3 linked regions of the Nothobranchius furzeri genome follow. The protein of the gene in region 2 interacts with the protein of the main gene of each other region in a pairwise test. Links are inferred from orthologs where the notes say so. Each region holds a gene or a part of one and is shown on either strand. Other genes may lie near its edges.

The links. The genes of interacting proteins can lie anywhere in the genome.
Region 1: the proteins of golga2 (region 2) and myef2 interact in binary tests that used the Homo sapiens proteins (3 or more experiments, as listed by UniProt). The two-hybrid records come from large-scale screens. The link is inferred for Nothobranchius furzeri from reciprocal best matches to the Homo sapiens genes GOLGA2 and MYEF2.
Region 3: the proteins of golga2 (region 2) and tpx2 interact in binary tests that used the Homo sapiens proteins (3 or more experiments, as listed by UniProt). The two-hybrid records come from large-scale screens. The link is inferred for Nothobranchius furzeri from reciprocal best matches to the Homo sapiens genes GOLGA2 and TPX2.

Annotation. Positions count from the first base shown.
Region 1 is NC_091749.1:42,880,954-42,884,702, reverse strand, and holds the end of myef2 (myelin expression factor 2), read left to right. Parts: intron 1-630; coding exon 631-729; intron 730-1,730; coding exon 1,731-1,862; intron 1,863-1,974; coding exon 1,975-2,067; intron 2,068-2,216; coding exon 2,217-2,276; intron 2,277-2,461; coding exon 2,462-2,628; intron 2,629-2,833; coding exon 2,834-2,885; intron 2,886-3,081; coding exon 3,082-3,245; 3' UTR 3,246-3,451; downstream 3,452-3,749. UniProt on the Homo sapiens protein: Transcriptional repressor of the myelin basic protein gene (MBP). Binds to the proximal MB1 element 5'-TTGTCC-3' of the MBP promoter. Its binding to MB1 and function are inhibited by PURA.
Region 2 is NC_091746.1:54,869,312-54,872,960, reverse strand, and holds part of golga2 (golgin subfamily A member 2), read left to right. Parts: intron 1-268; coding exon 269-491; intron 492-605; coding exon 606-767; intron 768-859; coding exon 860-966; intron 967-3,649. UniProt on the Homo sapiens protein: Peripheral membrane component of the cis-Golgi stack that acts as a membrane skeleton that maintains the structure of the Golgi apparatus, and as a vesicle thether that facilitates vesicle fusion to the Golgi membrane.
Region 3 is NC_091755.1:45,540,685-45,544,333, reverse strand, and holds part of tpx2 (targeting protein for Xklp2), read left to right. Parts: intron 1-634; coding exon 635-766; intron 767-842; coding exon 843-951; intron 952-1,033; coding exon 1,034-1,093; intron 1,094-1,207; coding exon 1,208-1,318; intron 1,319-1,750; coding exon 1,751-1,860; intron 1,861-1,935; coding exon 1,936-2,078; intron 2,079-2,316; coding exon 2,317-2,485; intron 2,486-2,574; coding exon 2,575-2,713; intron 2,714-3,306; coding exon 3,307-3,526; intron 3,527-3,603; coding exon 3,604-3,649. UniProt on the Homo sapiens protein: Spindle assembly factor required for normal assembly of mitotic spindles. Required for normal assembly of microtubules during apoptosis. Required for chromatin and/or kinetochore dependent microtubule nucleation.

The sequences.
Region 1 (3,749 bases), on a different chromosome or scaffold from region 2:
AACTCTAAAACAACTGTATTCTCATCCAGAATCAAACCTGAGTCTTCTGCATGAAAGTCCGACGTCTTACTAGAAAAAGCGCCAGTGACGTATTTTGTATCTGTAACATTTATGTCCTTGATGACAGCTGAAACAACGTTCAAGTAATGGTTTGGAGGGCTATGCCTGAGCGTGAACGCGCATGAAGCAGCCTGCTCGACCCGAGCAGCTCTCTTTTTCTGTGATTTTACAGAAAAACAGGCAATCACAGTAAAAATGCCAGGGCTCATTCTACAGGACCAGGGCATTGCAGGAGAATGTATGAAGAAGAAATTTATTATTTCTCTACATGTTTTGGCTGTCAAACTTCCATAATGCCCCTTTAAGTAATCCTGAGATTAACTCAATACCCACACTTTGAGCACCATATAATGTGAAATATTCCATTTCATTTTCTGTGAGTGATTTCTGTCAGAAATGCTGAAAAAAGTCATGTTTGACTTGATGTAATAAAATCCTCACCTGTTTAACCACACACAACTTAGTCCCCCATAGTAGTACGTTTTGTTTTGTTTTCTACAAAATAATCTGTTTTATAATTCAATGTATTGGCATAATAAAGGTACATTTTTTTCTTTTTGTTTCTTGTAGGAGGTCTTGGAGGTATAGGCATGGGCCTTGGGCCAGGAGGGCAGCCTATCAATGCTAACCATCTGAGTGGTGGAGGGATGGGCTCTGGGGGAGCTGGAGGTCAGCTGCCGCTCATATTTTTTATTTAGTAACTTGTGTTTAAAAGATGCTGCAGGCTTCTTAGTTGGTTAGCAGATTCATGCCAATAGATATGAAATATGGGGAGGAATCATTAGATTTTTTTCTTATTTGGAAGTCAGGATTTCCAAGCCTGGCCTGCCAGACTCCTCCTCTGTTTAATTCTGCACAGAGAAAGGGTCTGGAAAAACTCTTATTCAAATAACCCCACCCCTTGAGAATTCTAACCGAGCCAATCAGTGCTGAGTAGCGTGCGTCACACACCACAACGCCGAGTTTGTCATAATCGGCGACTGAAGCGGAGTTCTCTCCATCTCTTTCCTCTGTTCTAAATGACTTGAATGTCTTTAAAAGAACAAGTGGAAGTGCTAAAAGCCTTTCTTCTTAAAAAAAAAAGCCGTTTGCTCTGTCGCCAGACGCCATTTTTGACTACAGCTAAAAAACTACAGTGCCGCGCGGTACAGCCGGCGTTTCCGTCTTTTTTCTGATTGCTTATTTTTGAGCTGCCTAGTCCTGCCCCTCAAGTTCCTCTGCCTGTGAGTAACCAGACTCGTTCTCTGTGGATAATTAAACAGAGGACGAGTCTGGCAGGCCAGGCTAAAGATTTCCGACTTCCAAGGACAAATCGAACGCACCATTGGGCTGCATGGTGGCGCAGTGGTTCGCAGCACGAAGGTCGCAGGTTCGAAACTTGGCTGAGGCCTTTCTGCGTGGAGTTGCGTGTTCTCCCCATGCATGCGTGGGTTTCCTCCGGGTACTCCGGTTTCCCCCACAGATCACAACATGCCCTGTAGGTTATAAATTGTAAGTCGCTTTGGATAAAAGCGTCTGCCAAATAAATAAACATTATTGTTCATGTTTGGTCTCTGCAGCTACACAGAGAACCATCTGGGCACCTTTAGAGGTTTTGCATCACCAGAGTAAAGGGCTTGTAGCTAAAATTCCTCCTGTGCTTTAAAACCACCTTGTTCCCATTTCTGCAGGTATGGATGCTTCAAGTTATGGTGGGATGAACAGACTCAGTGGAGGAATGAACAGTGGTGGAGGCTTTGGAGGCATGGGCAATATGGGCGGCTTTGGTGGCAGAGATATGACCTCAGTTGGAAGGATGGGAGGTGAGTGAGAGTTCTCAGTCACTTCACACAGAAGTGATTGTCAGTTGGTAGTTTTTTGGCTTGTAAGTAATATAATGCAGCTTTCTAGGTTTATCTTATAATGTGTGTTTAGAAATGTTTCGGTCGGGAATGGGTGGAATGGATCGTGACTTTGGCCACAACGACATGTCGTTGAACAGATTTGCGGACTCTTTTGGAGGAATGGGTAGGTGATGATCTGATTTTAGAAAAAAAAACTGCCTTTGTATTTTTAACACAAGCTGGTGTTTGTTGAGATGTTTTAGTACGTGTGCATGATGACATTTAAAATTGTGATTAATTAAAATCTGCCCCAACTTGTTTTTGGTCTTGCAGGTGGTGGTTTTGGTGGAGGCATGAGCAGCGGTGGCATGGGACCCATGGGCACTGGCTTAGGTACTGAAACATTTTCATTTCAATTAGAAAATGGCTTCATGTCACCCAATGGTATCAAGTCATAAATCCAACTTCATAAAAAATGAGTTGGTAGAAAACCATTGAGGTGTTTTGTTTTATTGTTAGTTGCACATCTACTCTTTAATTTGGTGCCACTCTTCCCTTTGTGGATGTTTTCTCTGCAGGCAGCATGTCGCTGGACAGAATGGGCTCCGGCTTTGACCGTTTGGGCATGTCAGCAATGGACTTGAACCGTGCTTTTGGTGCTTTTGGGGGTGGCGGCCACATGGGTGGAGGCCTGTCTGACCGAGGTTCTGGCTCCAAAGGAGGCTGTCAAATATTTGTGAGAAATGTAAGTGTGGGTCAGATGCTTATAGTATACAAAGCCTGCTAAAATGTGGGATTAGAGGTTAATTAGACTTTAGTGACTAGACCTCATTGTTTAAATTCCCCAGATCTTAATACGTTTTGGGGATATAATTATATAATTTATGGCACTGGCTTTAACTGAACTTCAGCTTTGAAAAACCATCTGACAGATTATTTTTATTTTGCAGCTGTCCTATGACCTGACATGGCAAAAGTTAAAGGAGAAGTTTGGTGTTTGTGGTAAGATTTGTATTAATAAAGTTTTTGTCTGGACGTTGCAGATTCAATTCCATCTTTTGTTGTCTAATTAAAAAGCTGCTAAAACATTTGGCACAGCATTGTGACTGAGCTGTGAACTAATGGTTCAGAATAACTGGCTTAACTTTAACAACAGTTTCTAAATCAGAATGTAATCATTACTCATTCTTTCTTGCAGGTCCAGTAATGTACGCAGAAATCAAAATGGAGAATGGAAAGTCAAAGGGATGTGGAACAGTGAGATTCGATTGCCCGGAGAGTGCCGAGAAGGCCTGCAGGATGATGAACGGAACCAAGATCAATGGCCGAGAGGTGGACGTCCGCCTTGATCGCAATGCTTAGAGATTTTGTAGTCGCTACTGTCAAACACTCACACATTCAGACCCCTTTCCAATGATTCTGTTGTTTTGTTTTGTTTTAAAAACACAGTTTATCTCCTTATGTGTGTCCTTTTTCTTTTATGTATACTACAATACCATTTTGTCTGTTTTTCAACCCTCTTTTTAATTTCAGTTTATTTGAACAAATAAACTTTTTAATTTTTAAAACTTTGTGCTTGTGATCTTTTCTAAGCTTAAAGCTGTTGACATACATTTAATATTGTTGGGTCCAGAGCTACCAGCTTGTAGTTTTTGTTGTCAGGAAGGAAGGGAATTTTGATTTTAATTGCTGAATAATGTACGTTTTGCAGAGTTAGCTGTAAACGTAACAGAAACCAGCTAGAGATTAGGGTTTTGGTTACAGAATAGGTGCAAAGTTTTTACTGGAAATGGCCTTCTCCTCCCTGCTCATATAACATCAGGTAGATGTTTGCTTCACACATCTTACTGAAACAGAAAAGTTTCA
Region 2 (3,649 bases):
CAAAACAATGTCCTGATCTCCTAACACAATGGATTCTCTGCTTCCTGATCACGTGACGTGTGACGTATGCGGATGAAGATCGGCTTTGGAGCTGAGATGTTTGTTCTCACAGTGCGGGGGCTCGTTCCGATGCCCACACCGTAAAAAAATGCAAATGATGACTTTTGTCGTCAATGGCAGTGAATGAGTTAAAATGAATCTCTTTTCCAAACCTTGAACATCAAAGCTCCACCTCAACACCTCTGCTGACACTCTGATCCCTCAACAGGAGGACTTTATTCGTGGTGCTCTGGCACAGCTAGAAGCTGAACGAGATGAGGTCAAGCAGTTACTGAAGGAAGAGCGCAGGCTCCACTTGGCGGCCCGGCAACAAGCCGCTGTGGCACTCCGGCTTGAGCAGCAACATCTAAACTACAGACCTGTTCATGAAAATGGTCAGGACCAGAATCAGGACCAGCACACCCATTGTGAACACGGCCATGAACTCCCAGGTTAGACACAATTAAAGTGGTTTGTATTGGATTTCACCAGGACTGCACCACTCTGACGAGTAAATTAATGTGACTCGCTTTTAACGTTCTGTGATTCCGTGTTAAACCCTCCAGATGGAGGCGTCCCAGTGGAGGTACATCAGGCTCTACAAGCTGCAATGGAGAAGCTTCAGCAGCGTTTCACCTCCCTGATGCAGGAGAAAGCTGATCTGAAGGAGCGGGTTGAAGAACTAGAGCACCGCTGCATTCAGCTGTCTGGAGAGACCGACACTATAGGTCAGGCTGGACATTAGCGTCATGCTGAAAATCCCTTTTAAATTTCGATTTGGTGTATATTCACCATTACTGTGTGCCTGTTTCTCCTTTAGGGGAATACATCGCCCTGTACCAGAGTCAGCGAGCCATCATGAAGCAGAAGCACCAAGAGAAGGAGCAGTACATCAGCATGCTGGCCCAGGACAAGGAAGAGATGAAGGTTGTATAGTCACTCGTGTGGATGCAGGTGTTTTTACCTGGTTGGAAAATGTTTTACTGTAAATATAATAAAATTATAATTAGCACTTAAAAAGTTAACGTGTTATCGTGAAGCAGTATCTGTGTGTACAGGAGCATCTGTTTGATTAGAAAACTCAGGCCAGACGCTTCCAAGACACAGCCAGTGTTAAGCCTGATTCATGCTTCTGCGTCAGTGCGGAGACACGCAACGCCATTATCTGTCCTTGCGGGCCTGCTGGAGAGTCCCTGCTAGGACGGATGGAGTCGAGCTCTCTTTTCTAAGCATCCATCCGTCAAGACGGAGAATGCAAGCTTGTGATTGGTCAGGGTACCGCTGTCGTCTACACCGCCGCCATTGCTCCCTCAAAAAAAAACATAAAGAGAGCCGAGGATAACTAGCGGCAGACACGAAGAAGCTTTAAGAATACCTCGTGAAAAAACTCCAAAAACATGAACGTTTAATTCCCCCGTGACTGGAGGAGTAAAAAGATATGCAGCAAGCATTTTTTTGTGGACGGAAATGACAGGAAACGTGGGTTTAGAGGTGGAGAGCCCATGAAAAGGTGGAGGAGAATGAGAGACAAATTTGTCTGTGTTAAAAAGTCTCCAAAAAACAATATAAACACACTATCTTGGACCGGATACATGACAGGATACCACAGAACAGCGCTACACCCTCTGTTGTCCTGGCGGGGAATTGCTTTCCAACACTCCCCAGGAGACGGAGAAGTATGAGGTCAAATGTCTCCGCCCGTGCGTGTCTCTCCCTTTTGGAGCTGACGGAGAAGCATGACTCAGGCTTTAGTGCCAGATTGTGTTGCTGCGTCAGAATCATCGACATATAAATATTGGACAATGGGTTTCCATAGGCACCAATAATACGTTTTTGAGCCAAAATGGGAGGTGGCCACCACCGCCATTTTGACCGTGTCACAGGTTCCGTCAAGCCCAGACAATTCCACAAAAGGGAAGAGAGGTGGAGCTGAGGGTGTGGCTGTAAGGCTGGGATCAACTGACGACACCCGGTCGAACTAGCTACAAGCTAACCTGAAGCTAACGCGGAGGTGGGAGCTAAGCTAACAGAGGTAGCAACCTAGCTACAACCGGAGTTAACTGTGCACAACACCAGAGCTTCTGAGTCAGAGATACGCTGGGCTGACCGCTGGGTAAAACCGGGTGGAACACAGAGATCTCCCGAGAGCTGCTGAAAGCCGGCAGCCCGCACAGCAGACAGAAGCCGCGATCAGACAGAGATGCGCCGAGCTGCGGGGAGGGGAGAACCGGGTGGAAAACATCGGTCTCCCGAGAGCTCCACAAGCTGATAGTCGGAACCCAGCTCCACCAACATGTTATATTTCCACCCATTTTCTAAAGTGCAACATTATGTTAAATGCACTGGGTTTTACCCTATTACATTTAAATTTCATGGTTAAACAGTACATGTTAAAATCTAAGCTCAGCTCGGCAGTGACCTAAAATACATAAATATAATTTTACTTACAGAAAAAAATGAAGTGCTGACTCCTTGGACGCTCTATTAGTGCAATTAATGCCACAGCAAGTCATTTTGTCCAACAATTGCACAAATAATATCCAAAAAAGAATACACAAACACAAAGACTAAAAATCCCGGAACAGTTTCCAGGCCAGGCCGAGGCTCTACTGAGGCTTTTCCCCAGAGCTAGCTCTGCGGTCACGTGGGTCTGATGCTCATTAATTATTCAGAATTTTAGGTCATTTAATAAACTTAAACAGAAGAGTGACTAAAAAATTCACCCCCCTCAGAGTTGTCATGATTGTAAACTAGATCTATTAAACCTAAAACATGTTTTGGTACCAGGCTGTAAACATGTTTATTTCTGCTATGAAATTGGTATTTTTAACATGGGAGTCAATGAGGATTTGCTCGCTTCTGACACCAGCCCCCAGCGGATGAGGGTGGAACTGCAATTTTTGGTACTTCCGGGTTGGGCTCAATTTTTGAGACGCATTGTGGGGGCTTGGTCAGAATGCAGGCGGTAAAAACTGCTGCCACCTAGCTGTCGGAGTTTGATTTGCACCACACAAAAAATATAGTAAATGTTTGCTTGGAAACTTCTACGTAAAAAATTGATTCACGGCTTTTAAATATCGATTAATTATCAACACGCTTAAATATCCCAATATTTACTTGTAGCAATATACAATACAGTAAATTCAGTTATGTAATTAGTGTAACAAGAGATTTTCATAACATTTTCAAAGAAATCTGGTCTCAAATTGAATGTTTTCCTTTCTTTTGCCTCTCTTTGCATTTTTCATCCCACACTTGATCGATGAAAATATATGAAAAACTAAAATGGGGAATGATACATACATTTCTACAGATGCTTGTTGTATAATATGCTGTAAACGATAATAAAGGAACATAAAACAAAAAGAAAAGTAAAATAAATTTCTAAAACATGAGAAGCATGAACTTTATCATGTTACCTACATTTATAATTTGCAATTAATTTGATAATAATCACGTATTAACTATGAAACTCATGCGATGAATTGAACATTTTATTAAATGTCTTTATTTAGATTGATACTGTGCAGCCTAAATTTCTCATTAAAGCTTGGTTTATTTTAACAGTTTTAGAATTAAATGTAGTGTTTCCTGTTCACTGATGCTTACC
Region 3 (3,649 bases), on a different chromosome or scaffold from region 2:
CATTTTGGATCCTCGCTGCTGTATACGGAAGTCTGGTGGTCCAGGTGTTTGTAGAAGGGGACATCTTTGTTTCCAGGCCGGGTTTGGGTCGAGGATCACATCTTTAGGCTCAGATGATGATGATGACCTGTAAATAGGCATTTGGACCTGAGACCTCGTTTGTCATCCACACGCCTGCTTTTAGAAATGTTTGACACATTAAACACTTTAAAGTTGGACCAGTAGTAAAATCAGCCCAAGCATGCCGGTTCTGATTTTTAGGACTAGTTATTGCACCTGATTCTGATTCATCTTTTTATTTTTAACATTTCAGGATTAACATGAGAGACCGTAAATAAGAGCTGCTGGGTTTAACTACTCCAGCGGTGTCAGATAACTGGCTTTAATGTGAAAGGTCTCTGATTCTAGAAAAGCGAGGATATAAACTCATTTATTTCTGTTGTCAAATTAAACATTTTGCTTTTTGACAACAATCGAGTTTAGCTGCTGTAATGTAACCTGATCCAAACAGCACCTCAAAGCAAGTTCTCACTGAAACCACAATAATGGCCGACGTTTTCTTGGCTTGTTTTTAGAAACGCATCGTTTGAAAACAGAGACTTGAATGTGACTTACTCTTTTTACGTCCGAGTAGAACGACGTGCTGAGGGAGCAGATCCTCACCTCGTCACCCCTCTGAGAAGCTCCGCGATGCGGGTCGAGAAACCTAAACGTGGTGAGAAAAGTGGGACCCACTCTCTTCACACCCAGAAGGAAATGGTGTCAGGTCAGTCTCGTCTTTTGTATAAAAACTTATTTTATTGTACTTTTAATGAAACTGTGTGAGTGAAATATTTTCTCAGGTCAAAACGCGTCTGCATCTCCACCTTCGAACATGGTGACATCGTGGGGAGAAGAGCGCCAGAGGGTCGTTCGACCGAAGAGGTCCGGTATCCCTGGCCAGCCGCGCAGGTAGCGGCTGCTCTCAGCAGATTACAGGGGTGTTCCTAATCTGCAGTCCTGAACTAGACTAGATCCGTTTGATTCGTTTCAGGGTTTCGAAGCGTAAAGGGACCTCGGGTTCATCAGAACCTCCATTGAAGAAGCAGAAAGAGTTGAGTTGACTTCATTAATTAAACAATGGCGGGTTCTGCTGGGAGCAGGTTATCTGCATACGTCTGCAGATGTCACCAGCGTTTGATTTTCACACCTCCAATCTCTGCTGCAGGATCCCTGCTGCACCCAAGCCCAGAGGCGGGAAGCCCGGTTCCCGCAGCAGCGAGCGGTGGAGCTCCAAGAAGTCTTGTAAGGCCCCTGAAGCCACTTCCGCTGCTCCAGAGTGAGTCCTTCACTGCTCCCACCGGTGGAACCGGTGCAGCTGCTCACCCGCCGAACCTGAAACGTCTTTGGTTCTTTCTGGCCGTTTACTGGTCCATTTTAACCCGGCTGAAGATTTGGTTTGAATCCTGTTTCTGTTGAATCATTCCCGTTTTAGTTTAGCTCAGACATTGGAGAACGATCTGGGAATGACATCAGAGCAGGTGGGATGTCATTCCCAACTCCAGGATTTGTCATTTCTGTTTTTGGCTAAGACCGTCTGAGTTGAATCACTTCCGTGTTGGTTAAATGGCACGACTCTGCCCCCTGCTGTTGTCCGCGGGGAACTTCAGTCCACTCAGACGTTAGTCGTCGAGCCGTGTTGTATTTAAACAGTTGCGTGTTTTTGTTCTGGGCTGAAATGCAGCATAACGTTTAAACTGTGTCTGAGCAGGCCCGTTACCTCTGAGCAGTTGGAGATGGAGAGAATCAGAAGTCTCCAGAACGAAGTGGCTCAGCAGCGTCGGCGAAACGAGGCCAGCTACAAGGCTGCTCTGGCCGGCAGTGAGTGGCTCGGGTCCAGGAAATGTTTCTGAAGCGTGAATGAACCCGAGTGTCTGATGATCGCTGCCGTTTCAGGGCCACCGCCGAAGAAGCTGGTCCTGGCCAGCACCGTACCGCAGGACTTCGCCTTCAGCACCGACGCTCGTGTCAAGGCCTCCTCGAACCCGGTGCAGAAGGAGGTGGATTTTGTGCGGCAACTCCGGAAGCCCTCCTCCCCGGTAAGGCGCCCGGCCCGCCTCGCTTTCAGCCGAGTCTGTAAACTGCTGGTTTCGTTTTATGTGCCGAGTTGTGCTTTCATCTTTACTGGGTCTGAAGATTTTACACAAGGCAGAACATTTAAAGCGTTTATGTTCATGCTGACGTCTTTAGGAGCTGGCTGTTGGGGTGAGAGGATGAAATCACAGATTTGGTGCAGAAAACTCACGAGATTCTTGCGTCGTCGTTTTTATGTTAAAGGCAAAAGCTCGGAGAGGCGCCACCATCCCCAAACCCTTCAACTTCTCAGGCGGTCACAAGAAAGTGCAGGAGCGTGAGGACTACGTACCGATGGCTCAGCAGGTGGAGCTGTTCCAGAGGCGGACTCCCACCCGGTACCACTTACGGAGCAGCAGGAGTCTGGAGAGAGGTGGGATGGGTTTGTAGAGCTGAATGGAACACCTCGTTGGTTTGGAGTAGGAACCAGGCCCACTGATGGGTTGTTGGTTGTTGTTTCAGGACCGTCTTCGGTGAAAAGCCAGCACCTGAAGCTCACGGAGCCTCACTCCCCCCACCTGATCACCCGCGAGCGAAGCCGACCGGTTCACGTGAAGAGCAGCGCCGAGCTGGAGGCTGAGGAGCTGGAAAAGATCCAGAAGTAAGAACCGCGTCTGCTCAGCTTGTGATGCTCGTGTTGCTTCTGGATGCTGACCAAGTCCTCCAAACACACCCACATCACCCCGCTTCTCCTCCAGCTTCACTGGCTGCCAGCCAACTTCAGGGTTCATTTCAAGATCCTGGTTCTGGTCTATAGGGCCTTACATGGACAAGCACCATCTTACATTGGTGATCTTCTTAGTCCCTACACCCCCAGCAGGTCCCTGAGGTCCAGTGATCAAAGCCTACTGGTTGTGCAGCACCAGGCTAAAGGTCAAAGGTGACAGATCATCTGCTGCTGTGGCCCCCAGACTCTGGACCTCTCTCCCCCTGAGCCTGAGATCAGTGGACTCAGTGGTCTCCTTTAAACTCACCTGTTCAGGTTTTGGTGTGACTCCATCACCTCCCTCTCCTTACTCCGCCTTTCCCGGGATCCACTGATTTCCCTCTTTCCTTACATTATTATGGTTTTATCACAAGTTATATTCCAGTTTTTTCTCATTTTAAACTTATTTTTAATCACTTTTTGAAATCTTTTCTATATTTTTTGTTTTTGCAAAGCGCCTCGTGATTTTCATCATTTTTCTCTCTCAGGGTTAAGATCAAACCTCTGGAGCTGAACAGGAAGATTCTGGAAGGTGCCGAGGAGCTGAGGAGGCCTGCGGTGAAGGAGCCCACTGTCGCTGAAGGCTTCCAGCTGGAGATCGAAAAACGGCTCCAGGAGAGGCAAATGACCAAGAACCCTCAACACGAGGAAGAACCTTACACCTTCAGGGCCAAGCCGCTTCCTAAGAAGGTTCTGGAGGAGGTCGTGGTGAGTGGACCTGGGCCTTGCTGGTTCTGGGAAGACTAGGTTTATTTTTAGTAAATCAGATATTTTCCTGTCAACAGGGAATCCCGCTGAAGAGTATCCCACCCCCAACTGTTCCGGAATCTC